2 linked regions of the Mytilus edulis genome follow. The protein of the gene in region 1 interacts with the protein of each later gene in a pairwise test. Links are inferred from orthologs where the notes say so. Each region holds a gene or a part of one and is shown in the gene's direction. Other genes may lie near its edges. The genes, in order: filamin-B-like and 5'-AMP-activated protein kinase subunit beta-1-like.

What was found.
Region 2: the proteins of filamin-B-like (region 1) and 5'-AMP-activated protein kinase subunit beta-1-like interact in a two-hybrid assay, tested with the Drosophila melanogaster proteins (2 studies listed by BioGRID). The link is inferred for Mytilus edulis from reciprocal best matches to the Drosophila melanogaster genes jbug and alc.

The regions. Positions count from the first base shown.
Region 1 is NC_092346.1:20,337,150-20,353,361, forward strand, and holds the start of filamin-B-like, read left to right. Parts: upstream 1-7,479; 5' UTR 7,480-7,765; coding exon 7,766-8,084; intron 8,085-13,055; coding exon 13,056-13,245; intron 13,246-14,836; coding exon 14,837-14,902; intron 14,903-15,546; coding exon 15,547-15,760; intron 15,761-16,212. Other genes in the region: putative nuclease HARBI1, read right to left, coding at 4,296-4,307, 5,195-5,839.
Region 2 is NC_092346.1:61,319,595-61,335,359, reverse strand, and holds the start of 5'-AMP-activated protein kinase subunit beta-1-like, read left to right. Parts: upstream 1-9,124; 5' UTR 9,125-9,494; coding exon 9,495-9,623; intron 9,624-13,297; coding exon 13,298-13,452; intron 13,453-14,370; coding exon 14,371-14,464; intron 14,465-15,765.

The DNA.
Region 1 (16,212 bases):
TGTTTCACATTCCAATGTGGATATAAGGAACTTTACTCGTTCAGCATGCTTAAGTGGATCAAAGTGACAGCAGAAAAACATTGACCCAACGTCAGTTCTTCAGTCTTCTTCCAATAATTTACATCATACCACTTCTGGTATGTTATTGTAAATTCGTATCATATAGCATCCGTATTAAAAGCAACCGAGTCAGCATCCACTTCTTCGAATATTATAGCTCAGGGTATTAAGACAAGTTCTATAGAAATGATTATAAGGTTCATGATGTGTACCCTTTGGCTAAAATGGCTGCATTTTCACCTCAAAATTTAGATAGATTACAGACAAACAGCGGCCTGTGCATCTGGAAAAGTTTTAAGGCATACCATGCCCTATTTTAATAGATTTCAATTGCTTTGTCACCCAAACACAGAGGCAATGATTACCGTAATATATCAAATGAATGGCTTAATAAAACAAAAATTCTCAAATGTTCTTAACTCATAAGACAATGCTTAATTTCACAACAGCAACTAAATGTGTTACAGGTTATAAGCACCTCTATGAATCTAGTGTATATAAACTTTTTATTCCTGTGGTCATACTGCTGTTGTTATGCTCCCACCGTATTGAGTTTTATCCTTGTTCTGCTGTAAGTATGTATGTCCTTCCCTTACTTGTACGTACATGTACCTCCGTACATCCCAAAATTCGTTGCTGTTCTCTTACTTTAGTTTGCCTTAACCAAATTGTATGAAACTTATACGCAATGCTTATAACCACAATTCACAAGTCAAGTTTGAATTTTGGTGGCGATAGTTATACCATTTTAGAGTTATGCCCCTTTACATATGTAAAAAATTGCTGACTATTTTCGTTTCAGTTATCTAACTTAAGTTCGCTCAACCAAATGTTATGAAATTTATACATTGTTAATACTTTTAACAATAAAACAAAGATCAATCTTGAATTTTGGTGGAGTAATTTTTACTGCTGTAGGGTTGTGCCTCGTTTCAAATTGAACCAGATGCTACGGTGGGCACATCTTTATACGACCACAGAGGTCGAAACCCTAAACAGTTGGGGCAAGTATGGACACAACATTCAAGCTTGATATAGCTCTGAATTTGGATTGCGATCAAATTTTTGACATAATATATAGGTTTCTGACACAAAACAAATGTCAAGATCTAACAAATCTATTGCGCAATACTGTGTAATTAGAATGTATACACAATGCTTATTACCCCATAACTCAGATCAAGTACACATTTTGGTAGCGTCATGCACATTTACAGTTCTTGAGTTGTGACCCTTTATAACATTAATGCTAGCGGGGGCATCATTTGTGTCCATGGACACGTTCCCTATTTTAGATAAAAGCCTTTAATATGAATTCACTTTCATTACATTTGTATTGATTTAAGTTACTGTAACTGTCTTATTTATAAAAAAGGATGTGGTATTTTTTGCAAAGAAACCAATGCTATCCAAAAGAGTTCAAAGGACGAAAATGTATTAATAACTATAGGTCACCATATGTTCGTCAATAATGAGAAATATATGTACCATATACATGCAGAAAGCTATAAAAGGCCCCGATAGGAAACATGTGGAGCAATTCAAACAAAAAAACTTACGTGTTAATTTACTAAAAACAAAAATTAAGGATCTAAACCAATAGAAAAATACTAATTCACAGGCCCTTGATGTTGACATGGCATGGGTACTTAAAAAGAAATTATCAGAGCTTTCTGTATATTTCAATATTTTAGATCTACAGTTTTAGGTTGCAATAGAAAATATCAAAACTTTTTATGACAAACATGAAAAAAGTGATTTTTGATAATTACTGACAAGACAATGGATTAGTTTAAAACATCCAAGCTGTGATGAAATACATTTTTGAAATAATACACGTCTATAACCTTTTTGGAATAATACACAGCTACAGTTGCAAACTTTCCAGAGGTGCTATCCAGCACTTTGATTTCACCAATCCTTTAGAACCCATGCACCATTTAAATGAAACCTTTAAAAATACATTTGATGATCTTAATAAAAACAAGGTTACAAGACCTATATCTAAAAAGTTGCAAGTCAGTTTATGACACTTAAGTTCACTTAGTTGTATTTGTTGCTTGAAAAACACCTTGTAATCCATTGGTGGAACCATGGACGTATGCTCATCTTCAGTGGATGAGGTCTTGGTTCAATCTTCAGCTGCATCGAACTAAAAAATTGGAAAGTACAGCGTCTTCTCTAAGCAAGCAGCATTTAGAAATAAGACCTGTCATTCAGACTCTGAATAATGTGCTCAGGCATAGGATGAGGTGTCTTCCTACAGACTTACCTTTTAATCAAGCATGTTAAAAGCTCTGCATCAGTGTGTACATGAAATGAGGCATGGTTCACCAACATATTCTTTTCCTCCTAAGCATGTGATATTTGTCACTGGAACACCAAATCGTCATCATCATCCTTATCCATTGGGGGTTAAAATTTGTTTTCAACAGTTAAATGATAAATACACAAAGATTACCATGTAAGACTAGTTAAGGAAAAACACTTATCAAATTCTTATGAATGAAGTTTCAAAGGAGGAATGTTTTTAAGGTAAAGGAAATATATATTTTAAAGAAATTCTTAATAACTATGTATTTCTAAACCATATGTATGGAATGATTCACGGATAACGTTGTTAATTATAACCAACATATTCATCTAGATCGATTTTGCATATTGTCTTAATGAGCAAAACCCATTCCATATATAAAAGGCTTTAGGAAGAAACAAATATGGAACAATTCATGTGAGAAAAAACATGAAACTACTGATTGTTGTTCAGGGAATGGGATCAATTATTGTTCATAGGGTGTTTGTCGTGTTTGTATGTGATTTTTCAAATTATGGCCGTTTGGATATGTTATAGTGATTAAAATGTTAATTATGAATTTCAGGATATTTACAGTCGGGTAATCATTAAGATGTTTTAAGTAAAATTCTACCTCAAGACATCATGTGGATTAAAGTGGACGACAAACACATAATTTCATTTACCCTTTATTCCTAAATCATGTATGATCCTACAAAAGTAACATGGTCTTGAAAGGAGATGTTTATGGTCAAAACAATCCTAAGTTAAAACTTGATTTTCTTTTCAACGACTTACATTTATTAAACCACAAACATGTCTAGCAGTCATAAAAAGACGTGTCAAGTTTAAAAAAAAAACAACACTTTATTGTTGTCAAAAGAAAGATAACTCTGGGACACTTAGGCATTTAGTACCGTACTATACTGCAAAAACCAGTTAGGTTGACACAGGGGGTGCATTTATTGGTAGCAAACTGGTTTAAGTTTTGCAACAGTTTTCAAAACTTTTCATTTGTTTTGACAAACCAGTTTAGAACCTGGTTTAAAACTGAAACTGGTTTGATTGTTTATTGAGACAAAACGAAAACCAGTTCTGGAAACTTATCAAACCGCTCTCGGGGCAGTTTAGTAGTTTGGTTTCGAAAAAGAATATGGCGGAAGAAGTGCAGACGAACATGACGAAGCAGCTCAGTACATTTACTTTCCAGCAATGTGAACAAAAGTGGAAAAACTTTACAAAAATATTTCGTGACACTGTTGATCACAACCAAAAAAGTGGGAATGATGTAAAAAAGAGCCCCTATTTTTGTGAAATGGAGGAAGCTTATGGGTACAAGGCAAATGTCAAACCTATCTTCACAATGAGCTCATCAATGCCATCAGCAGAATCTGTGACATGTGAGGATAGTGATGTAGAGTCTTTAAATGAAAGTAGTTTGGCAGAAGAGGGTAAAAGAAAGAAGACGGCAAGTGATTCAGATCCAACAAATAACCAGGGAAAGAAAGTAAAAAAAAGTAATGAAGTTTTGATGTTTTTGGAAACCATGAATGAGGAGTTTAAAGAAGAACAGAGAGGGTTGCTATCTGAAATAAAGGAACAGCATAAGGCAAAAATGGACAAAGAAGACAAAAAAAATCATCTTATGTCACAGATTATTGAACATATGAAAAAATAGACATACTACAATAATTGGATTGATTTAAGTTTTTTTTTCTTTTTGACTTTATTATGTTTTTCTGAGTTGCAGCATTGTCAGAGTGACATATTAGTATTGCATTCCACTTTATTCTATTGTTAAAAATACAAATTTCATTATATGAAACTGTTTCATTGTTGAACACATATATATTGAAAAAAATATCAACTTTATATATAATTTTTTTCCATCCAAGGAACAAAAAAATAGCAGGGGTCTAGAACATGTGGAACTCCATGATCCCTAAAATTTGGCCTGAAAATAATCATTGAGTTTATATTACTGCACAGTGTATAGCTAGTCGTGCTAGTAGCACTGATATAAAATTGAGAATGGAAATGGGGAATGTGTCAAAGAGACAACAAACCGACCATAGAACAGACAACAGAAGAAGGTCACCAATAGGTCTTCAATGCAGTGAGAAACTCCCGGACTCGGAGGCATCCTTCAGCTGGCCCCTAAACAAATATATATACTAGTTCAGTGGTAATGGACGTCATACTAAACTCCAAATTATATACAAGAAACTAAAATTAAAAATCATACTAGACTAACAAAGGCCAGAGGCTCCTGGTCCATTTTTTATGTGCCTGTCCCTAGTCAGAAGCCTGTAGTTCAGTGGTTGTTGTTTGTTCATGTCGATCATTTCTTTTTAGTATTTTGTTTTGTTAAACTGTTAGTTTTCTCAATTGAATTTTTTCATATTTTTCATGTCTGGGCCTTTTATAGCCCAGTAAATGGTATGTTCAAGGCCGAACGGTTGCCTTAAATTACTTGCATCCACTTTATTTGAACTCGGTGGATAGTTGTTTCATTGACAATCATACCACATCTTATTTTTATAAAGTATTGCCTTTCTAACTCAGATTATAAACAGGGCAACAGTCAAATAACAGTACCTAGATAACATTGATAATACACAGTGACATGTTATGGACCAAAACATGAAAATGAACACCGAGTCATTCATGTGTGAAAAGCAGGCGATACAAAATAAAACAATACACTAATTAAGAATTGAAAATCTAAATTTGGCTAAAGTTTACAGTTAAAAAACAATTTACACATTTTCTGTTAACATGGTTAAGGGAGATAAATATGAGCAATATCTTTTTATCCCAGCATATCAACAATTGACTGACGTTTATGTTGTGTCTTCTCCTTAAAAAATCTTGGAAATCATTGATCTCTTCATTGGCATTTTGGCTTTCTTCAATGTATTCATCAAAATCATCAAAATTGGCTAAACTAACTTCATGTAATGTGCAACAGCTGAGCACAAATTTTACCACTTCAGGCATATCTTTCATGTCAATGTATCTTAAACGCCTGAATCGACCTTTCAATGCACCAAAGGCTCTGTCGATACACATCCGACTCGAACTATGGATGTAGTTATAACGTTTTTGTTCAGCCGAAAGGTTGCCAAAGTCTTTGAAAGGCGTCATTACCCACTGACTCAAAGCATATGCAGCATCTCCAATTAGATGGGTATTACCTGGGAACATTCTCTCTTTGTTATCAGATGCACTTGTAAACAGAGGCGAGTTTTTAAGAACTCGCGAGTCATGCACAGAACCTGGCCACCCACAATAAAAATCTAGAAAATGTAAGTTTTTGTCACATACTGCTTGAAGTATTATAGAAGGAAACTTTTTTCTGTTGTAATATTGTTCACCATCCACTTTAGGAGTTTTGATGGGGATATGTGATCCATCAATCGCCCCTAAAACACCAGGGAAACCTTTGTGTTGAAAAAACATGTCAACTGTCTCTTGCACTTTCATTCCAGAAGGCCATTTAACTATTAAATGCAGGAAGCAAATCTGAACAAATAATTGAAGATGTTCGATGTATGAACTGTTGCTCACATACACCAAAGCTGTCAGCTAATTCAGTCAAAATCTGTTGACATGATGCATATCTTATGAAAATCAGTAGTTGCTTTTCAATAGAAACTTTCATGATGCCACCCTTAAGACCAACCGCTAACTGAGGAGATAAGCTTAGAACTAGTGCATCAAATGTTGATCTGCTCATTCTAAAACGATTCTTAAAGTCATCAGGTGTGTATTGGGGGATAACATTTTCAACACAATTTTTCACCCTGGCGATGTGTCTACGTTTAGCAGCCAAGCATGATACAACTGAGAAAACTAGCTTTCTTTTTGAGACACTCTTGTGAATCTGATAAAGCCTATCAATGCTGTCATCTTCTGTTTGTGTTATCAAGTCCTGTAGTAAAAGATATACTTCAGTCATTTTTGTTATGGTTTCAACATTGTTCAAGGAAACCACCCATTTGTTTAAATGTGCCTGAACTGGGTTTATTTTTCAAACTAGTTCGATAAAACCTAAACTAGTTTTGGAAACCAGTTCAAAACCTTAAACTAAAACCAAAACCAGTTTTATTTGCAATAAATGCACCCCCTAGGGTTACTCTTGCATTTGAATTACAGAATAACTTTCTAGTCCGAATATGCTTTTCGATCTGACATGCGTTCAGGGTATTTGAATGGGGGCTTTCCCAAGACCACAGGAAACCCAAAATATTGTCAGATATCAGAAAAACCTCGGTCTAATTCAAATGTTGTTGATTGTGGTTTTGAAGTGGCATGATACATGTTGTACTACAAATTTAACAAAAAAAGTTGAATAGAATAAAATAGAATAGAACATTTTTTATTTCCCAAATTACAGGGCCCATAAAGGGCATAAAATCAGATACAATTGATTTACATAATTGGTAACAACAACAATAATAGAGGCATATACATATATATTTGGAATATAAGCATTGGTCAGAATCAAGCTAAAAACCACGTATATATTGTGAATAAAAGAATAATAAAATTGCATTATACATGTATATGTATTTTTTCTCAAATTATTAACTTGACTTAATTCAATTCAAAGCAAACAAGCATACAACGCCTGATTCATGCCAAAAACAATGAAAGAAAAACATGTTGCTGATTTTTCTCGTCCTGAATGAAATATTTGCGACTGGATTTCGAGCAAACAAAAACCAATTGTCACCATATGCTGAACAAGATGTAGATTTCGAAACTGAAGGGATCAAGTAATAAATTCTTAAATTGATAAAAATAAATCAACAATCATAATATGCACGTCTATTCACACCCTTTCGATTATTGGTAACTAATCGTGTCAAATTACCTGTAAATTATTTTAATATTGCTGTTTACTTGTAAAAGTGATTGACGTTAATCAATACACCTGACAGGTAATAATTAATTATGAATCAACTAATGATTTGTTGTTTCCTAAACAAATGCTAGAAAACACAATAAATTATTTATTACATTTTTATTACCAGTCACACCCGTCCCATATTTGTTTATAACTGTAACCAGTCAAGTGTGAAAATATGAATGAACGATCAAAACTATACCTGCCCGCCAGAGGGCGGATTTTTAAAAGGTGTCTATTTACGCCTTCGCTAGTAATTCCTGCAAACCGGTTTGTTCGGACCGGAATTGAATGTCTGTTGGAACCATAAGTTCCTGTCTAAAACATCATCCAAACAGGACAGGTATTTATTGACAGGAGTTCCCGATAAGAGACCCTTTGATATCCAGGACATTAATTACAGCAACAAGACCCTACAGCTGTAACAATACAATTGTATGTTAGGTGTGGTTCAGTTAAAAAAGTGTCAAAGTTGAGAAATTTTTGGCAAAAAACTCACAATGTCAGCTCGTGCTTTAAGCAGAGAAGGACATGCAGCTATGAGTCTGAGAGGTGAAACAGATCGCTGGGTCTTAATTCAGCAAAACACATTCACCAATTGGGTGAACGAACAACTTAGGATATACAATTGTGAACTTATTGAAGATTTACAGACTGACTTTTCGGATGGAGTTCGACTGTGTTATCTTGTTGAAGCTTTGCAAGGAAAGAAAATAGGAAGGGTTATTAAAAATCCAAGAAATCATCATCAGAACCTGGAGAATGTTTCCAAAGCACTGAATGCCATTGCAAATGACAATGTTAGACTGGTGAATATTGGTAAGTTAAACCATGACATTCCTTTAGGCTCAGCCTCTTACATGTATGTTTAGCCAGAGACATATATATGTCCTCTGGATTTGGCCTGAGGGGATGACAAAAAATGATGAATTTTGAAGTAAAAAATAAAAACATGGGCACATGTACCTTGATAAATGTATAATTATAACTCTTTTGCCAGGTTGGTCCCAAACCACCAAAAGGGGTACATTAACTTAAATAAAACACATTTTTTTATGCTTAAAATAAATGTTTTAAAATAAATATTCTTTCTACTAGAAATGTACAAAATTGTACCAGCACATTACAACTTTGAAAACATAGTTTAGATATTTCATTTAGGCAGCTTACACTGAATTAAAAATACCATTACAATTCAGTGTTTGTTGTAGCATGTAATTTTATTGTTCCACAGACAATCTTGGAGTTCTGACAATTTCATTTGGAACATCTAATCAATTATGAACACTTGAGAAACAGTGGCTAATTATAAAAATCTTGTTACATGTACATATATAATTTGATCTTTTAATTGGTTTTACAGATGAAGAACTTTCAATGATATTTTTAAATGCCATGTACCATTTCAAAACTGAAAATAAAAATAGATGATTTTCAAGAAATTTTTCTTCTTTCTGTAAATGTGAGTCATTTTACATTAAATGACTCAACAAGAAAATGTTGATTAATAAGTATCCTCACATTCTCTTTGGCTGAATTATTTTCAAACCCTTTGTTTTGTAAGGTTTTATGTACATGTATCATGGAGGTATACAGTGGGTCATAATTTGCAAAATCATTCTTTATGAATATGGGGTCATCCATGTCATGGTTCAGGACATATGATGCTATCAGTTAAAAGTTTGTCAACAAAGATTTTTAATACTTCAGTTTAGAGAGTGATACTGATAGTTTCTTAAAAATTATTGTTGCATATAAATGTACCTTGATAGGCTAATAGGTACAGCACTACACCTACATGTACATTTAATTTAGTATTTTACCCCAAAATAATGGAAATTCCAGAAAGGAGTATAACTTTCAATCGTGTAGCCTTTACATTATAACCCAATAATAATACTTAAGGTAATAAAAAAATCATATTGCATGTTCAGCATATTCCTGTACTCCATCTGAGATAAATGCACAGATATCTTTATCTCCTGAAAAATATGACCCCCCCCCCAAAAAAAAAACAAAAAAAAACCAACAAACAAAATCATTAAATATATAAAATGAGATGCTTGCAACTTCAATGATTAGATATCTTGTGGACTGTAGATGTAGGCCAGTCAGCCACCCAGACTCCTATATTTTTAGAAAAAATGTGTTTATCCACAGTATCATGCAGGTTGTACATTTTTTTATTACATGTATATGAATTTGAACCCTGCACATGGCAAGGTGGATTTTAATTTACTAAGATTGCCTGTCAAAGATCATTGATTCTTTCTCTCTGGACAGTCCAGCTTCCTTTTAAAATACTGGCCACCCAGATATAGCGTAGAGTACTGAAAGTGCTGTTAAACACCAACAATGTATCAGTCATAAATCTAGCAATGAGCCAGAATCACTAGACTTTCCATAAAGTCATTTGGACTCAGCAAAAATAACAATTTTGCAACTGCAAGTACCACTGGCATATTCATTGTATACAAATTGATATGATTCAAGATGTAAATTGCATCTAAAATATCTGAAATATTTGCCACTGGATGTAAAGTAAACTGAAAATAATCAATTGCTGTGTACTTTTGAAATCTGTCAAGCTATGTCCAACCCAAGAAAAAAGAAAAGAAAATTGTTCTCTGTTGGATAGTTTTTTTGTTTTTTGTCGAGCCTGCAACTTTTGTTGCAGAAAGCTCCCTTTTTTCATTGAAGTGTGGTTTACCATTATATTTGCGTAAACATTAGGTACATAAAGACTGATGATGTTTTGGTTGGACAAATTTTATAACTGATCTGTATAATGCTCTTTGGGATTTCCCTTATTTTTGTGGAAAACACAATATTTACATTTATTAAGTGCATATGTATGCATTACATGTAATAAAAAGAGAGTGTCAGGCTTGAACCTACATGTATTATCCTACATTTATTCAAATTATGCACAAACTGATTCAAAATCTATATTAAAAAATCATAGAACTCACTAACTGATTTTTTAAATGTAAACAAACTTTTATTACTTTTAAAACAAACCCCAACATTTGGCAATCCACTGTGACTCCATCACAACATGAGCCACACATGTACATGTACATAGGTCCTCAAGTCAATCAGATAGCAACACAACAACATAAATCAAACAAGAATACACATTTGAAAGTTAACATATATTTAGACTACAACAAGAGACAGGTGTCTATAAACTCTAGATGGCCCACTGCAACAGTCTTTGGAATACACTAGTTTTAAGTTTGTCCACCATTGTAGAAATTGAATATTTCTTTAAACTTTTTTTTATCAGAAGATAGGCATTTAACACTACAAACCAAATGAAATTGTTTGAAATTGTACAAGTATCATACGTTCATTAATTCAAAAATCATTTTATTTTATTGTGATATATTTAGATACATGTACATGAACTCTTAAAAATCTGTAGATTGAAAAGAAGATGATCTCTTCTGGACTCACTAGCATGATACATGTACATATAGCAACCGCCAGAGCTAAAAATCATCTAGTTTTAACTTCATTTAGAATTTCATAGAAATAACTGACACCCTGGCATGATAGCAGCAGCCAGAGCAAGAATCTCCTTCTTTTAACAAGTATTTTACTGACTGCACTTTAAAAAATTTAACTTCACTATTGGTGATTGATTAAATGGATAGGCATTTAATTTTTGATATTTAAATTTGGTATTTTTTCTGGCCAATTTATAATACACTACAAAAATTTGTGTTTTAACATTCCTCAAAATTATATGGTTGAACCTTTAAAGCTCATAAACAATCTTGGTCAACTTGTTTTTCTGTGTCATGTTTTGTGGAAGATTTTCACTTTTTTCCCGTGGTATCTGGCTTTTATATTTGTTGTTTTTTTTGTACATTTTTGTTGTAATCTTCAAACATTTCTGACCACATCATTTAAATTTGATTCATAATTGTTAAAAATCTTCAAAAGAGCAGTTTCTTGTTCAGAGGGATTTCATAACATGCAAATGTAGATACATTGTAAATATAAAATAGAAGATGTGGTATGGTTGCCAATTTTACAATTCTTTATAAGAGACCAAATGACACAGAAATAAACATTTATAGGTCACAAAATACAGCATTCAACAATGAGTAAAGCCCATACCACATAGTCAGTTATAAAAGCCCACGAAATGACAAATGTAAAACAATTCAAACAAAAAACTAGCAGGCTGATTAATGTAAAAAAAAAAAATGAACGAAAACCAAATATGTAACACAGCAACAAACGACAACAGCAGAATAACAGGCTCCTGACTTGGGACAGGCGCATACATACAGAATGTGGCGAGGTTATGCCTATTTTTATGGATATGTTTATTGCAGAAAGTATACTGATATAAAAAAAAGAACTTAAACATATTTTATCATTATGAAAGATAAGTAACAATTCTTTAAAATTTAAATTGAAATTAATTTTAAAATTAAGAAATGATTTTCTAATAAAACATTGAAATTACAAAAATATAAATATAAATTATAGTAAATACATATTTTTTTTAATTTACAATCTACTAGTAATTGTCTGCAATTTGTAGATATTTATCTGATGTACACACAATTCTAATCTGCATTAGGTGGATAAATTGAATATAAATGCAAAATAAAAGCTGCTATTGCTATGATTATATATATGCAAAAGCATTAATAGTACATTGCTTATGCAACATAAAAGTTCTGTTATGCAACTCAGGGCTGCTTTAACGTTTTGAAGCTTTCAGCCAATGAATATTAATGAATTGCAATTGCTAGTTGAACAAAAGGATGTAGCAAATTTATCTTTCAAATGTGCTATTTTCGTTTTGAAATGTCACTTATCAATGATGATTGCCAATCCTTAACTTTAGAAATACTAGGAAACACAAGACAAAGATCAAACCTTTAAATGTTTTTGCTCTATCAAATAGAGCAGTATAGAATACATGTACAATAGTTTCGAATCTTATAGTGTGCATAGTAAATAGGCTTGGAGCATGCTAGTCATTTTTTTCACTTAAGCCTGTAATCTCTGATATGTGACATTCAATTTAAAATAATCGTACATTTGCACTTAGGGGTTTATTTTATTCAAATATGTCAACTTATTTTGTGCCTAAAAGCAAAATAATCTATTTAAAGATACTGAATCAGTAAACTACATTTTGTACAATAAACACAATACCAATAAGGTATAAGATGACATGTTATTGTATTGTAAAATTTTTCGTTGTTCACAAACTATTTAAAAGAAAAATGGTGTTTAAATGTCCCAACATTTTTACATAAGATGAAAATGTATATAGGAGGACTAGCAATACATTGTAATCCTAAATCTGTCAGTCTGTTTTTTTTTTTATATTTACAATTTTTTTTTGTTATAAATAGTTTTAATTTGGATTGCTTTTCAATATCTTGTTAAAAGTAAAAACATTTTTATTCAGTACCGTAATTCTTTTTTACTAACTTGCATTCCCTCCAAAAAAGTAAGAGAAACAATTAAAATGAAAAAAAGGGAAAAATGGAGAGTTTGAAGGATAAGAATGGGAGATAACTCTATGATAAATCATAAACTCTCATATACCATGAGGGAATGATAAAATGGTGTATATAAATTATAATTAGAAAAATTAGATGAGAAAAACTGGAGGTAGATAGCACTCTGAAACTATTTTAAAAACATTCACCTCTAATAACTTCCTTATATGTACAATGCATAGTTAGTTCCTTTTCATTACAAATTTTGACACTATCTGTAATAGATATAATGTAAAAAATTTCATATTTACAGGAAGCGATGATATTGTAACTGGAAACCTGAAGTTAATCTTAGGTCTGATATGGCATCTTATTCTCCGTTACCAAATCGGAAAAACCAAATTCCCGACCAAGAAGTTGATGTTGGCATGGATACAGGCTGTAATTCCAGAATGTGGTATCGGCAACTTTACAACAGATTGGAATGATGGAATTGCATTGAAGTAAGACATACTGATTACCCTCTTGTTGCCTGTTTCCATCTTCATTTTCAAATATAAATTTAGTGCAATGCCAGTTTAGGCAAAATATTTTTATGCTCAGCCTAAGATAGTAGAGTAGCACTTCCATTACTTCTTTGTCCAATATCAGGTTAAATTTTTGATCTCAAGCATTGATTAAGGTTGATTAAATATTGCTGCATTTTACTTTTATCTCCTTCTCACAACCCACTCCTCTCATTTTTTTTCTTCATATATTTGATATCTTTGCTGTAGTTGTAACAAAATTATGAAACAGTTTTTCAAATATTTATGTTTTTGAAATTTCCTGCACATTGACATACTTAGGTTTCCCAACAGTTGGCAACAGTTAAAAGTGTACGTAATATATCTTGTGAACAATAGTATTGCATTTAATATCAGATTAACAATGCATTTCACATTTTAAGATTTGAAGTTTCAATTTATTAAAGATATATTATGCAATTTGTGTAATCTATTGTACCATTTTACAACCAACATGTTTTGATTATTAATGTTCTTTGATATAAAACCAAATAATTCTTACTTTAGAAATGAAATTGGCCATTTAAGTCTTTGCTTAAAGGGATTTTATATTTTACATATGATTATCAATATAAAGATTTAAAATTTATGGACATAACTTTTTTGAAATTTGTATTGCCCCTACAAGGTAACATTTGTAACTGTATATATATATATACATAGATCATCTTGAATTTTATGTGAATAGTTTTCTACTTGAAAATGAATAAGATATAAAGTAAGAACCATGAGGGCACTGAAGCGATTGCCATAAAAAATTTAGATGAAACATTAAAAACATTAGATGTGGGGAAAACCAAAAGGGAAAAACCATAATGATTACATTAAATATACAGACATATATTTGCACAATGAAAAATAAACAGTAAAAATTCAAACAAAAAGGTTGTGTATGCTGGCATCTTTAAGTACAGTTTTACTATACATAAATTACTTTTGTTGTCTTTGTTTGTAAAAATTGTTATGATGAAATATGCTGTTCGTTCATTTTTGTGTTTTCTCTGTGAGATACATGCTTAGCCCTAGTCTCAGCAAAATTGATTTCTTAAATTTATAATAAGCAGCATTAAAAGAATGGAAAAATGAAAATGATGAATATCTAATAACTTTTTTACCTGTTTTTACAGCACATACTTAGTTAATAGAGTTTAATAGAGAGATATGGGTTGTACCCAATGAAAAACTACAAAATAACCAATATATCTAAGTAACTTCATAAAAAGTCCTTGATGCTGAACTAAAGAGTTCTCATCTTACAACAAGATGAAGCCAGACAGCCACTTATGGCAACTGAAGCAGTACATAGATGTCCATAGCTTATTTGAAACTACTATTTAAGATCAATAATTTTTTAATAAAAGCTGGTGAAATAATTCTACAAACAATATCATCCATGGCCAAACAAAGGTTTGTACTGTTTAATAATACAAATACAGACAAGCAATTAAATGTTTGACCAATATTCTTTTTTAACCACATTGATCACATATATGACCCTGAGAAACTTATGCATATTTACATTTTTCAGTGCATTGGTAGATTTCTGTCGACCAGGATTGGCTCCTGAGTGGAGGCACATGAGCAGAAGTAGTGGGTAAGCTTTAAATAATAGCTAGGGAAATTAAATATTGAATGGAAATACAAGTAAATGCATAACTGTGGATTCATTTATCTTCGTGGGTACCAATTTTCTTGGATTAGGAGAACTGGCATGTTCGTGGATATTTAATTTCGTGGTTTTGATGAAGACTACATACAAGACTATAGAAAATTTGTCATTTGTTCAATTTTGTAGTTCACTTGTAACCATGAAATCCATGATAAGATGATATGTGTTGTTAATCCAATTCAAACCTTACTTTCTGACATAATCATGTGAGGAATCTGTAAAAAGACCTTTCCCCCTATAAGCTTAGAAAAATTACTACAGTGTAACCTGCCTTATCCTACACCTGAGTATTCCAACATACTGCTTTAACCGACACATTTAATGGTCCCAAAATATGCGTAGCCTCGCAGAAAAAAAAATCAGTATTCTGGCACCCTGTTTTTAATAACCCAACATCTTTTTTCTGGTCCCTTAGTGTGTCGGATAACACAGGTTACACTGTATCTGATTAAATTTTGTACTTCACACACATATAGTCCAGTGTTATCTGCCATGGTTTGAGTGGTGCTTGGACTCTTATGCAGTTTATTTTTAACAAATCCAGTATATTGCTAACATTTCTATTCCAGGCTTGACAACTGTCGAGTGGCAATGCAGCTAGCGAAGGATAACTTTGATATCCCACTAGTAGTCAGGCCAGAGGATCTTGCATCTCCAGATTTAGATGAGTTATCAGGCATGACATATTTGTCATATTTCATGAAAATTGATTCACCAGGATATTTTGCCACCCTGAAAATAATACAGAGCCTTCTAAAGTATGGAACATGCAATAATTTTGCTGTAAGTCTTTTCATAAAATCCAGAATATATTTTCTTTACAATGTATTTTGAACATTTGATATTTAGTACAGAGCATGAGTTCTCCTAATATATCATATTTACATGTGTATCCAGTGTCATTTTCATTAGATAAGACCTATGCTAAAACAACATGCATTGAATAAATCCTCTAAAGCAATACAAATGAAAGAATATGAACTATATATGTACAATGTATTCAAGTTATGAATTTTGGCTTATCATTTGATTTTTTTTATAATAAAAGATCAAAGCAATACATGTATAATATAGTAAATACCTTGATTAACTTTTGTTAAATGTAAATACAAAATGTAGTACTACTGTCGAAGCCCAAAGACATGAAAAATATGTTAATGGCCTTTAATACATTATATCATAAATGTATTCAATTCAATTGTATACTCAACTTCCAGGGGAGGCAACTATTCAAT
Region 2 (15,765 bases), about 41 Mb from region 1:
TTGTGATAGAAAATAACCAAATATAAGATTAATTTACGAATTGTACTTTAGAATTACCACAAATCTTAAATTCACATGAATACATTGACCTGTTATCTTATTGACTTAAAAGCCCGCCAAGACAGATGGCTGATATTCTGAGAAGATATCTTGATGAAATTTGAAATAGGTTTCACGGGAACGAAAAAAAATTTAAAATGTATATTATGTATGGGCTTTGCTCATTGTTGAAGACCGTACGGTGACCTTTAGTTGTTAATTTATTTGTCATTTTGGTCTCTTGTGTTGAGTTGTCTGATTGGCAATCATATTACTTCTTCTTTTTTATATTATAGCCAGAAGGTCTCCGCACATACCCAAAGTACAATATATTTACTGTCTATCTTGTGGATATCTTCAGAATCCTCACGAAATAGATTTCCATAATATGGCGTTTCTGGGCTCTGTCAAGTTTTGTATTATTGAACTTTATTCTGCACAAATTTTGGTAATTGACATTTTCATTGTGCTTTGGAAATTCCATACCCTCTCCGTGGTTTTATCTAGAGGGACAGGTAGTGCATTTAATTCATGAAAAAGAGTGATATGTTTGCCAAAAAATGTATATCCTACATCTGACGATTTTAGTCGGTCTGTTCTGACTGCCTGACTAAATAAAATTTTGTCCAATCAGTTTCCAATTTCAAAATTTAAATAACTATTATATTGATAAACAGAAGCAATCAACAATGCAATAATATAACTATAACTCAAATATTAACTGAGTAATAAATAAATGCAACAGTAGTAATCCGCTAGTTACAAACTATAATAACATACAATTGTTCAGAAGTTGATACAACATGCAAAAGGTATTTCCCTTTAAGCTTTATTAACATGTTTAAACCAGTAACAGTATCGATGGAATACATGTGGTAGTTGTATGATTGCAATTGTTTCTTGGTCAGTCAGACAAAATAAGCTAAAATACGCTGCTATATATGAATCAGAACAAGAATAAGTTAGATCATCGAAATTTTACTGCAAATGGAAAATATTGATCGTATGATATTTATATACCAACCTTATAAAAAAATCAAGCTCTCATAATAATTGAACATCTGTAAATTTTAAAAATGTGTTTTGTTATTTTGAGACTCGAGTGTGATTGGACTCGTAAAGAAACTTGGGGTTGCTGTCTCATTCACGTATACCTGTCAACGTATATTTTTTACGCCTAACAGAAGTTCCAGTGGAAACTTTGTTATAAACAATGTCATAATATATGTTCCTATTTGAACAAATATTCTATACCATTTATTCCGTTAGGAACATTTACTGTAATATTTATTCCAGTGGAAATAATATTCAAGAATAATGTTTCCATTTGGAACTTGTATTATGAAGGATCACAATACTGACAAAAGGTATACACGGGTGTCATTCGGTTTAACGAGAGAAATGATCGTGAAAGAATATCTAACGGCGGTCAAGTATTGAGAGACGATAGTGAAAGTTCTGGTAACGGATCGTGAAAGACATTTAATCGAGAAGACATATGAAAGGTCAATAAATATTCTAATTTAAATTATTACACAGACAAATTAACGACAAAATAAAACTGTCTGTCGAAATGGTTCAACATCAGTATGAGTCAGTATGTGAGAATATCAAGTTTTAAAAGTACATAGTTATTACAAAACAACAAAAGGCAGATTGCTTCTCGACATTTCAATGACATAAAAAATGTAAACAAACATGATTTTTTCACAAATTCGACTAGAAAAACTACTTTTATCCGAATAAGGGCACTCTATTTGAATTAATCAAATAGTTCTCATAGTTATTTTGTATAAACATAATCTGAAACTTGATAAATAAAGAACTATTTACACAAAAATTGAATTTTCGGATCGTGAAAGATCACGTACCGCATTTTTGAAAATCGTGAAAAGGATCGTGAAAGATCTGATGCTACGAAAACGTTCGAATTATTCTTCAATTATATCATAATTAATATTTGTTATTGGTATTGAGAAAAGCTAGATAGGTCAACATCCTCAATAGGTTTAAGCATTTCAAAGAAATGTAAAAAAGTTGGATGATTGTAGAATGAAGCTTTTTATTGTCATGTGAAGTACTCACTTATCACGAGTTATAGGATACCCACATTTTGTATATTGGATCCTATAAATTACATGTCCGTCAGACAGGATTCACCTGACCCCGAATTTGCCTCATTTCATGGATGAAGATTTATTGTTGTGGTCAAGTCCGTATCGCGGATTCGTTAAGCTTTAGGATAAGTAAAATCACAAAAATACTGAACTCCGAGGAAAATTCAAAAAGGATAACTGTCTGTTGTTATGATAATAAGGTGTAGATTTTCGACTTCTGCAAGGTTTTAAATAACATGGAACTCATTTGCATGCATCATTCGGCAATGTTTGTTTTATGTTGTTTAGCTTTTGGATATATACCTGTATGCTATAGCGCCAAGGCAATTCGTGTATGGTGTACATGTCTGTCTGCATGTTTCATATATGACCGGCAGAAATTCAGCAGCGACTTGAAAAATTCATTAAACTAGAGCCCATCGATTCCCAAAATGCAATTGATAGCGCATCTCTAGAATTGACAGACATTATAAAAACTGCTGCCAATATTTCCCTTAAAAGGCGTTAAGCCCAAACGGGTAAGGGGGTTAAACACTAAAAGTGGTTTGACTGTAATCTTGCATATTTGCGAAAAAACCTATTTAGTTATGGGAAAATTTATTCTCGATTTCCCAGAGATCCTGCCGTTAAAGGTCACTTTTATAAACTACAGCGCTTATATACTAAGGCACGGAAACACAAATACAAGGGAGTGCAAGCAGTCTTTGTTGAAGCAGATAGAAACACTGCACGAGGAAAACCCTAAGCAGTACTGGCAATTGATTGATGAACTTCAGGGCAAGGAAAAGGATGATAAAAGTGCATTAGTCGCACCATTTGATTGGTTGAATCATTTTAAAAATTTGACAGAACCAAAAGATGAGTTTAAAGAACGACTGCATTTTTTAGAGGAAAAGCTAAATATTCTTGAAAAAAGAAAGTGCTTTAATGAACTTGATAGTAGGATCTCTGAAACCGAAATATCTACTGCTTTGTCATCTTTAAAAATCAATAAAGCAGCAGGGTTGGATAACATCTCTAACAGTATGCTAAAATATGGTCAAACCTCTTTGTTACCTTGTTTACTAAAACTTTTTAATAATTGGCTCTCTTATGGAAAATACCGAGAACCCTGGACTATTGGCTACATATTCCCAATTCATAAAAGGAATGATGCATCTGATCCTAATAATTATAGAGGAAGAACTATTACTGATGCTTTGGGGAAACTTTTTAATAAAATTCTTGACACCCGTCTTTGCAAATTTTTAGATAAATATCAGATCATTAAAGATAGCCAAATTGGCTTCACAAGGAAAGCGCGACCATCTGACCATATGTTCATACTTAAGACCATTATTGATAAGTACTGTCATACTAAAGAAGGTAGAGTGTTTGCCTGTTTTGTTGATTTCCAGAAGGCCTTTGACACGGTCATTCACCCAGGTATAAAACTCAAGTTATTAAACATTGGGCTGGGTACAAATTTTTATAATATAATTAAGAGTATTTATGCCCAGAGTAAATCCTGTATTCGATTAAAGAATAGAGTTACAGACCTTTTCCCAACTAAGGTGGGAGTGAAACAGGGAGATAATTTGAGTCCTAATTTGTTTAAAATATTTATAAATGATCTCCCTGATTATCTAGAAAAGTCACCTGATCCAGTCTTGGTTAACTCAAAGCCAGTTCATTGTTTATTATATGCTGACGATATTGTCATTTTTTCTTCCTCGGAAAAGGGGCTTCAGTGTAAACTTGATCAATTAAATAATTATTGTAAAGATTGGTGTATGAAAATTAATCTAAAAAAAAAAACTAAGGTGATGGTATTTAACAAAGCAGGCAGGCATATAAAACATAATTAGATAGAATGTGTTCAACATTGTAAATATTTAGGTATAACATTTAGTGCATCAGGATCTTTTTCCTTTGCTCAATAGGAATTGTACAATAAGGCATTGAAAGCATACTACAAGCTACGAAAGGACTTTTTATGAGGGGGAGGACAGGGGGGTACCCTTCTCCCTTCTCCCACCTCTCTTCTCCTTTCTCCTACCCCCGTTCTCCTTTCTCCCATTAGAATAAAACATCTCCTTTTAAGATATTTTTTCTTGAAATATTAGAAAAAATTTTAAAAGGAGAGATATTTTATTTTTTCTCCTTTCTCCAACTTTTTCTCCTTTCTCCCAGCCTTCCTCTCCTTTCTCCCACCCCCTTTCTCCTTTTTCCCACCCCCTTTCTCCTTTCTCCTACCCCCTTTCTCCCGGTCTCCCTTATCCCTGTCCTCCCCGGGTCTCTAAAAACACCGCAAAGGACCTCCTTTGTGCACAAAGGAGCACAAAGGAGCACTAAGGACCCTAAAAAAGTTTGATAAGAGCACAAAGGACCTGAAATTCCCTTTAAAGCATAAAAATATTATGATTCCTGAAGAAAAATGTAAAAAAAATAAAATAATTTCAATAAAAATTGCGATTTTTATAATGTACGATTGGATGTTATCACCGATATCGGATTGGAACCGACTTTATATCCGGGAAAGTGATACATGTAGCTCATGTATGTAAAATTTTTAATAGTTGTAATATGATATAAATGATAAAAACGTCAATTATTATTCTTAATATTTTGTTGTTGTAATATATTTTAAGATAACAGACTTTACCAAAACTACGATAATTACGTAAGGATACCGATGTTTCATCATCAGCTATAGCTTTCTTATGTATGGTAGGGTCGAGGGTCAATACAGAATTATAATATTTTAATGCTTTAAAGGGAAATTAAGGTCCTTTGTGCTCTTATCAAACTTCTTTGAGGTCCTTAGTGCTCCTTTGTGCTCCTTTGTGCACAAAGGAGGTCCTTTGCGGTGTTTTTAGAGACCGGTCCTCCCCCTCTTTTATCACTGAATCCCAATATTAAAAAAACCCTCAATGTATTTGATCATACAATTAAACCCATTCTTTTGTATAGTTCGGAAATTTGGGGCTTTTTTAATCCTTTCAAGAAAAAATTTAATTCTCAGACTTCTACAGTTGATCAAGCCTATCCTAAACTTTTTTCAGAAAGATTACATATGAAATTTTGTAAATTATTACTAGGTGTGGGGAAAAGAGCAACAAACCTTGCCACTCTTTCAGAACTTGGGAGATTTCCTTTACATTTTGATATCACCAAATCTATGATCAGATACTGGCACCGGCTTGAAAATTTGGGTTCATCCTTTCCCTTATTAAAAGATGCATATTTAGAGTCAAAACTATTATTTGAATCAAAAATTTCCTCTTGGTATGGATCTTTAAACTATTAGCAAAAAAAAATTAATGGGGTTGACAGTTTAACCTTTGCAAGCAACTTTAGATTCAAAATTTTAATTAAAAAGTTTTTGTATGAGCACTATGAAATACAGTGGAGAAACCAAATGCACAATTGTGCTGATGGGAAGCTTTGTAGCTATAGCACTTTTAAGACTCATTTTGGTCTTGAAAGATATCTTACTTTATTACAATCACCTGAGCAGAGGAGAAATTTCACTCGATTGCGTATTTCTTCTCACAGACTAAAAATTGAACAAGGTCGCTATCAGGGTACTCTCCGACAAGACAGAATATGTCTCAGGTGCACCTCAAATGAAGTTGAGTGATGAAAAACATTTTGTATTCTCATGTACATCATCTCAAGATAAGAGAAATTATTTGAATTCCACTATTGACTCACTATGCCCAAACTTTAAGCATTTGATTCCTAGCCAAAACTGATATGGCTTCTTAATGTAGAGAATCTTGATATTTTGATATCTGTCTGTGAGTTAATTGATGAAGATAAAATATAACTTAAAAGATTAATATTTAATCAGGCTTTCTGCACTAGGCACGAGGTTGGCATGGTGGGGTACAGGACACATCGTACAAGTTCTATTACCTTCTTGTTTGTGATATTTTATTTAAATTTTTTGATTAAACTGGTAATATTTTATCTTTTTCGTAATTTGTGCACTTTGGCATGTCAATTAGCATTGTCCCTTAGTGCCTCTTGCAGTTGTGTCACTTTAGATAGTACTGACTCCTCTGCACCAGGCACGAGGATGACTTACCATTTATGTGCAACTTCTTACCATATCTAACCATATCATTAATGTCCCTATACACATTTTAATATGCACCCACCATGCCATATAGCACCGTCCCTTGGTGCCTTTTGCAGTTCAGCTAGATATATTTAGCCTACTCACAGTATTCTTTTTTGTTACTTTCCAGAGGTGTGCCTGAGACAAAGGTTTTATATATATACTAATATGTGAAAACTGTTGTTTCTTATTTGTGTTTGTAACTATGTGTTGTTTATTATATTTGTAAAAGAATATTATATTACAATGATATTATATTATGCTCCTTGTGAGCCCATTTTATGGAAATAAAGCATCTTCTTCTTCTTTTTCTATGACCATGATGACGTCAATTGTATTTGATATATTGAATGATAGTAAGATGTCTATGTCTGGCTGTCGGTCAGGGTTCATATACTTTTGACCTTATGTTCCCGGCGAATTAATTGGCCAAGCATAACTTTTACATTTGTCAGTTTCTAAGGCACTGTAAGGATCTGAACACTTTAATTTGGTGTACGTGATATTTGTAGAGATCTGTATGGCATGGTTCATCTAACCTTGAACTCATTTTATGAACCATTGACAATATTAAGCGCATTTGACACTTCTTGGAAAACCCTTGATATTATAGACGTTCAACAAATATACAATCATGTGTAAAGAAGACGAGACATTACAGCATTTGCGATCTGGTATTCTATAGTCTGTAGTATGTAGTTAAATCAATCCACATTTGCGTTGTGTATAAAGAACTTAAGAAAGTACTGTTGCACAAAGTGTTGGTTATCGTTCAATCTCAAATTACCCATGAAAGATGCTGTTTTGCTGTAATTTTTTGTTAGGTGGATATCATTTTGGTTTAAACGTTGCATATCCATATTATTGGCTAAATAGTGTCGGTCTTTCTAAATTGCACTTGACCGATTCCCAGAGCTGAATCTTTCACACTTATTTAGACACGTTTATTTGTTGTTTTTTTAAACTTCGAGGTAAAGTGTGAATAAAAAAAAAAATAGCTCTAATGTTCATCCTTATCAAAATAGTTACAGGTTTCAACCAGTTGCAGGTTTATCAAATGGTAAAAGCAATACTGATTTCTGATTACTAGTATTAATATGTCTGGTCACGCATTATCTTTCACGATAAAAATAATGCGTTGCCTGATCTTTCACGATCAAGGATCGTCAAGTTTGATGGAAATTCAACAAATTCAAGGTTTTCATATACAAATTAATGCTTATAAGGGAAGAACATACTTTAATTTTACTGTACTATCAGATACACCAAAGATTAAATTTCAAATATATCATGATAAACTGAAATATGACCATTATAGGTACAAAAAGCGTGTTATTTGTAATTAATTTCTTAGACATGCATTGCGCCTTTTGTGTTTTTTCATAAAGTACTGCATATTTTCTTTATCTTATTTCACAGTTATGTTGAGGATGTTAACTTGACCATTTTGACAGACATATTTTTTTGTTCGGATTTGTTCCGCGTTTTGAAAATTAAACGATTTTTTCAAAGATTATGAACTGGAATTTACATTAAATGTCTTTCTCGATCCGTAACCAGAGCTTTCACGATCGTCTCTCAAAACCGTTGACCGTCGTTAGATATTCCTTCACGATAATTTCTCTCGTTAAACCGAATGAAACCCGTGGTATAGGTAACTTGTCTTTTTCAAGCAATTATTTATGCAAAATTCTCAGCAGGCTCGTGAGTATTTTTTAGGCTAGTAACCGTTACGGAGGAAACAACCATTTGAACGAAAAGTAAATGAAATGAAAGCCATCCATCGAGAGTTAAGTTATTTTGATATTGGCTTTTGTACAAATACATAAAAGATAAAGATTAAATATAACATTCATTGTCTTTTTTTGAATAAGAGAACAAAAGAATTTTTTATTATTATCCATTTTTAGACCGTCGGTATCTTCTAATTTTGAACGAGTCAAAAAATGTATAAATATATATGTATATATTTGTTTCTATACTTTTATTAGACTTTTACTACCGAGACATACATGACGTGTATATATGCGGTCTCTGGTGGCTTCATGCGACCTTTGGCTTTAGCGAAATTTCCTATGAAATAAAGTCTCCAACCGCAAATACTCTACGATATCTTTTACTCGATCAGTATTACAGCGGTCAATGCTTTACAGTATTCTATTATCAATGACCGATGTGGATAGTAAACCAACAATTGATAATAAATTGTAAACAAACGTTGTTTCGAATATATTTATGTACAAATATATGTAAGTATGATATTTTAAAACAGGAACATTATTATAGAAAACGTGAATAACGGATTTTGGAGAGAAAAAAAATTGAGGTGGAGGCAAAATGTATCTTAATGTCTCTAACGTTAGATATTGGAACTCCGTCACATTTTTTATTTTTTTTATACTCAGACTGAAAAGAGGTTCAATATAATGCCCTACGATCTCAGGATTGAAGTGATGACGTCATCATGTGACACCTTATCGCTAATCCCGGCTGACCCTGCCGCTTGAACTTTTGACGCATACAACAATCACTTTTCCATTGTGTCGTCAGATATTTTGTTTTGTGACGTCAAAAAATTACGGGAACCTGTGTGATATCTAGTAATGGCGGACAAATAGCGATAAGGTGTATTATCAGAGGCAGACATGCGAGAATGCAATCATTCTTTCATTCACGGCTCTGCGGGTAAATCGTTAAGTACCTTCTTTGCGGGAAGTAAAGGGGCGTTAAAATTAATCATGAAAAAAAAATGATTTCGATGATCTGAAATAAAATGATGTCTGAGTCAGCCTTACTTTGAAAAATGAAAGAAAGTTCAAATAGAATTTTAACGGATTTTAAAAGAAAAATCCGTACTTGTTCTACCATTTACTATTTCTGGCATGCGTACCGTGGATTCCACCATATTTGTTTACTTTTTGCAGTCGATTCAATCAAATTTTTTAAAATGTTGACTTCAGAAAAGATAAAATGATGTAAAGATTAGGCAAGGAACATCGGATTTTGTCCTAAAACTTAAACGAAGTTAAATTTTGGGATTAGGTCGTTCTAAATTTTGTAAAGACACGACACGAGGTGATCGACCACCACATGACAAGTGTCGGTCATATATTTGTTGTCTTTACTTGGATATAATTTACAAGTCAACTATTGATTGCACCTAATGTATCAGTCATAGTAAAATATTAATTTGAGACATTTTTAAATCCGATGTGACACTACAATCTAGAAGAATGGGCAATACATCACAAAAATCTCGCCATGTGTCTGGCGATGAATCTGGACCTCAACTTGTAGCTGGAAGATATGGATATAGCGAAAAAGAATTTGATCACATTCAAGTGATCAATCCTAACATTAGGGTAATTCTTTAAAATTATTTTTCTAGTTTTCCTTCTAGTCTTTTTAGTAAACATGTAAATATTTACTTGATGTCTTGAGTTGAAGGTGAAGGTCATATGCCCAATGATTAAAAACAATTTTTATCTTTCTCATTTTTTTAGATTCAGATTTTCTTCAAATATTTTTGTATAAGTTTAAACTGTGAATCATTTCATGAACTAATTTATTCAGTAAGAAATTGAAAAAAAATATTTAGATTATAAAGTTGACATTTTTATGATAATTGTGTCATGTAGCCCCAAGTAGAAATGTGTACTATTTGACATTGAGGAAGGTTACCATTTAGCATATAAATATAAAAGTAGAATAACATTTTGACTTTTGAAAAGAATGACCTGCATCAAATGTACGTGTAAGTTGTAGATGACCTTTTCTTTATATTTTGTTTACAATCATACATATACCTTTAGACACAACGGTACATTGTTTATTGATAGATTTGTAAATTAGAATTGTACAGTATTGTAGATACATGTTTATGATGTATTCTATTTAATATATGGTCCCATAAATAGAGATGTAACTGTTAAATTGCAGTCTAGTTTATTTGGTCCAATAAATTTACTTGTGTTGTAAAATTGTAATTTTTTTTCAATCCTTACTCTATATATATTAATTTAAAGGTTAGATTATTTACAAGTGTTCATGTATGCTAATCAGGTGACAACAAGTAAATTGATGCCATTTGTACATTGTGATTGTACTTTATAAATATATAACAGCTCCTGTGATGGCTATGAAAACTGGTCATGTACTTAGTAATTAAGTTAATACAATGTATACACAATAAATGTACAGAATCCTTACTAGGATGTTTTTTTTTATGCCCCCACCATAGCAGAGGGGGAAACAAGTTTTACTCTTGTCCAACAGAGATGGATCTGATTACATCTGACTACAGTGAATTTAAAAAAAACTATTTAAGTGATGAGAATGAATAAACGTTTGATATAACAATAGCATTTTTGAGATTTATTTGATATGCTAAAAATTAATAACTTCAAACTTCGTCAACATACAAGTGTATATACATGTACATGAACATTGTGTCACTGGTTATGACCCATAACATCATTAATGAGTTTGGTGTTTGTCTTCTGACCTTTTCCAGACTTTATATGTACGCTTATTGTCCGTCAGTATGTCCAAAAGTTGTTTTCTGTTCTCTAACTTTAGTTTGTCTCAATAAAATGCTATGAAACTTGTACACAATTCTTACAAAATGTATTACCACAAACCACAGATCAAGTTTGAATTTGGGTGGCCTCACTTTAACCATTCTAGAGTTATGCCCTTTTTAATAATTTTATTGTGAGTTATTTTTTACTCAAAACATCATTGATGTCTGAATTATTTTGACTTTGATTGAATAAAGGTTTATAAAGAGACATGAGAGTTTGGTGTTTGTCTTCTGATCTTTTCCAGACTTTATATGTATTTCTAGGTGCAGTTTCTGGCAGATACATTTTTTGTACACATACGTTTATTGTCCGTCCGTATGTCCAAAAGTTGTTCTCCGTTCTCTAACTTTAGTTTGTCTCAATTAAATGTTATGAAACTTGTACACAATTCTCACAAAATGTATTACCACAAATCAGAGATCAAGTTTGAATTTGGTTGGCCTCACTTTAACCATTCTAGAGTTATGCCCCTTTTCATATTTTTATTGTTAGTCTTTGGACATTTCACTCTATTGTATTAGTTTGTCCCTACAAAAGTACATGAAGCTGGTTATAATGTGTCTATTATTGCATATACAAATGTATACAATATATTAATCAATGCATCATTTATTTTATCAGCACCATCTTTGAATTTTGAGCTTATGTAAAATTTTAGAAGTTTAAAAAATAGATACATGTATTTGTATAATAGTGTAACGTGTAACCGGGCGGGGACGTTTAGATAGTTTTATCCTCGGGTTCATACCAGTTTCCTGGGATTTGAAAAGCAATTCAAAAGTTCGAAAGTCAATTAAAATGTTACACTATCACTATCAAATATGAAACAAATACTATACTACATAAAACGAATTTCAACACCTATCAACCTGAACCAAACTTGTTGAATTAAAAAACTGTTTTAAAACCCTTTCAGTCCAATACCGTTTAAAACCAACTGTTTGAAACTATAGTCTGAAACCTAAATGTATGGAACTGGTTTGAAACATAAATGTATGAAACAGGTCTGAAACATAAATGTATGGAACGGGTCTGACGGTTTGGAACTATTGTCTGAAACCTAAATGTTTGGAACTGGTCTGAAACCTAAATGTTTGGAACTGGTCTGAAACCTAAATGTATCAAACGGGCTGAAACCTAAATGTATAAAACGGGACTGAACCTAAAAGGTATAAAACTTTATTTAATAAACATTTCTATAACTGTCGAAACAACAGGGTAGCACTAAGGCATGGTATGTCAGCAAACACTCACTGCAATAGTGAGAGATGTGAGACGCAAAACCTTAGCACCAGCCCTGTTTGGACAATTTGTACCGAACCAACAGTCTCAGCCCATTCTCTATTCTGTCTGCAGGTTCCAAGCACTTCACTTTACTTAAACTAAACCTTCTGCCTGCTATAAACTACTTCCTTTCCGATGTTTACTGTCTGCTGTCTTCGGTACAAATGACAATTTACACTGAATAGCTACCCACTATTTATACTTCTAACGCGGACCTCGAAGAGAGCACCCTAGCAACAACTGTACAGGTAAAGCGTCTGATAGCAACCAAGGATAAAGGGATGATTTTAGATACAGTTTTCAACGATAAAAAGATGATATGGGAAACTAATATAGATATCGGAAATATATAACCGTAGAACTATTATTATATTCTTAAACAGTAAATTCGTAACAATAGTATTTCCATTTGCAAAACTTTTCAACTGTTAAATAAATTTTTTAAAATGTTGATTTTATCTGCTGCAATCCCTGAGTGACTACATGTATGTACATGTGTACCTGTTCATGTCAGACATTAGTCACTTGGAATTGATCTACAGTAATTTTATTGTTCATTGAACAACAGAATGTACATGTACAGTAATCCTCTTGACATACATTACATACATTGTTTGTTGTATGTACATGTATCTTCTCTACAAGTAATCAATTTATGCGCAAATCAATAGTAGGCATGCTATAATATAAAGTGATTGCCCATCAATGAATATTCCCCCCCCCCCCCCCCCTTTTTGTGTTTTTGGCAAAAGGTCAAAAACTAAAGAAGTTGGAGAGAAACTGCAAAGAGAAAAAAAATGATCAGCAATACAAGATCAACTTTCATAATGTACAAGTCTGTCTGGGACGGTTCATCTAATGTATAATTTTGTGGACTCAATCTGTCATTAGATGACATGATATAATACATGTATCTTTGTACAAAATGTAGCTTAAAAATATATATATACATGTACATTGAACTACATTCAATAGATGCTGCCAATTTTTTTTTTATCCGCACTCTTTTATGGTAAGTTTGAAAAAAGATGTAATTCTTTAACATTTCCCTGTTGCTTGATTGTTTTTAATTTGGTTTACATGTTGGAGAATATATAATTCTCCTAATTTATCAGGTCAGAGTAGAAGGGCAATAATTTTATCAAAAAATGTTTTTTTTTGTCATTTAGCGACCAAGAGCCGCCACAACACTGAGTCAGGGAGCTGATATGGTTTACCAGACGCCTAAACTTTTACCAGCAGTATTCAAATGGGAAGGTGGCGGAAAGGATATTTACTTAGCTGGAAGTTTTAATAAATGGGCCAAAATACCTCTTGTCAAAAGGTTTGTAAAGAAAAAGATTGAACTATTCAGTTATTCAGGACATTATATATACCGTACACCAGGACAAACTGTGCATATTATCTGGTATCTTAGATTGTTTGTATTGGTGTAACATGAAGAGGAATAAAGCTACCCACCAAAAATATACCATAATCCATATCGCCTTCATTTGAGCAGACCCATGTGGGATAACTGATGACTCATAAACAATAGAAAGTCATTTATCTTGTTTATTGTAATGAAAGTAAAAAGGTGATTATTTGATAACTTCAGGTACATGTAACATGTATAAACTATATTTTTAAACCACAAACACAATTTTTATTGTGGTTAACAATTATTGATTGTATAGATATGTTATATAATTAGATAATTTGTATGAATATAAGGATTTGTGGGGTGTATACATGTACGTTCATAAAACACCATGCAAACAACAAAAAAGGAATTGTTTTGAATTATTGATTGTTGGCTGTTTAATTTTTCAGCACTATAAGCTTTGTCATTGAGGACAACTTAAATTGGTGGAGATAACTGGAGTTGTCTGACTTTTGGCAGCAAAACAAACAATCCTAATCTATTGGGATTGGAGTCTAACATACTTGCTACATATGGGGCCCCTTAACCTTAGTGTTAACAGGCTAATTAGTATATATACATCAGATGAACTACTTAGACCACTTGACAATCAGGACCCCTAAGTCATTTTGATGAATATAAGTTTAACATGTTTAACTTTAAAAAAAAAGTAAAAATTGTATACCATACAACTGTATAATGATAATTTTCATAAGGGTGGCTTGGCATGTTAGATTCGTTTGAAATTTGTTAATGCTAGCTGCAGCTTATTGGCTAGGTGTGTTATAAGAATAATGCTACCTTGCATATTGCATATTTCAATTCTTTTTTCTTTTTCAGTCATGGTGATTTTCTAACAATTATAGAATTACCAGAAGGTGAACATCAGTACAAGTTTTTTGTTGATGGGTCATGGCAGCACAACCCTTCAGAGGTAAATATCTACTTAATTTTTCAGTTTCATTTGATCATCATGGTATTGATTGTCACATGTACATGTATATGATATTACCTATTTGATATTCATAACCTTAACATGCATAACAAAGCCTTCATTTAGTTTTAAGATTGAAGCATGCACAATCTCTGCAAGACATACATGTACATGTAGATGTACATGTATATACAGGATAAAAAAGCAGAAAAAATCAACAGGACATTCTAATTCTGTGAAAAAATACTGATTTAGCAATTGGATTTTTTTCAAAGCCAGTTCTATCCAAGCCTAAAATTACACACAGATGATAGAGCATGAGTGCTGGAGTCGGTTTCACAAAAAAACTTGCGACTAAGATTGGTCATAAGTCATGAACAATTCAGTATACTTACAATCAATCTTAGTCGTAAGTTTTTTTGTGAAACCGACTCTTGGTGGTTTCCCAAGAAAAATCTCAATGTGTACATACATTTATATTGGTATATGTTCATTAGAAATTACAAAAAAATGTATATGACAGGATCAAGTGTTAATGTGCCATTCACTATAATATGAATGTTTCTCATTGATTCATTGGACATCCTGATAGAGGATGAATCATTCTGAGGATACATGTACTTTCAACAATTTAATGTTGATCTATTCTACAGAATATTATCCCTCAATTATATAAAGCATAAACTTTGTGTTTTTTCTCAAAAATGATGTCTGATGTTCCTTCTTACCTACAATAAACTTTGAAAGAAGATTTTTTTCAAGTATATATTCTGATTAGAAACATTGTGAAAAAAAAAATAGATATGGATTGTCCTTCAATGAGTAACTTTTAAAAGACATAAGACATTTTATTTCACTAAAACCCCCACATGGGGTATGCTAGTACAACATTTTTTAACAAACAATAAAAGTGTGAACATATTTACATTAGAACAACATTGTAAATAAAGGTTCAATAATAGTATATATAATTAATACTGATATTTGACAAATAACAGTAAAATGATTAAGCACATCTATTAAAAGGTTTTAATAACACTTTTGCAAAATTTTGCTATTCCAGTAAGTGTAAATAGATCTGATGTAGTCATCAGTTCTTTAAATTTTAAAACATTTGGGTTATTACATACATTTAAAGGTAAAAGTTTAGCTCTTACATTGTTGAAAAAGGTAAATTTGAATAAGTAATGAAACTCATCACCAAGTTCATTAGCATTACAAAGACTTTAGAGTATCATCTATAGTTAATTGATCAGAGTTGTTCATCTTGTCATTGTTAGGTAGATATAGAGTTTGGAATC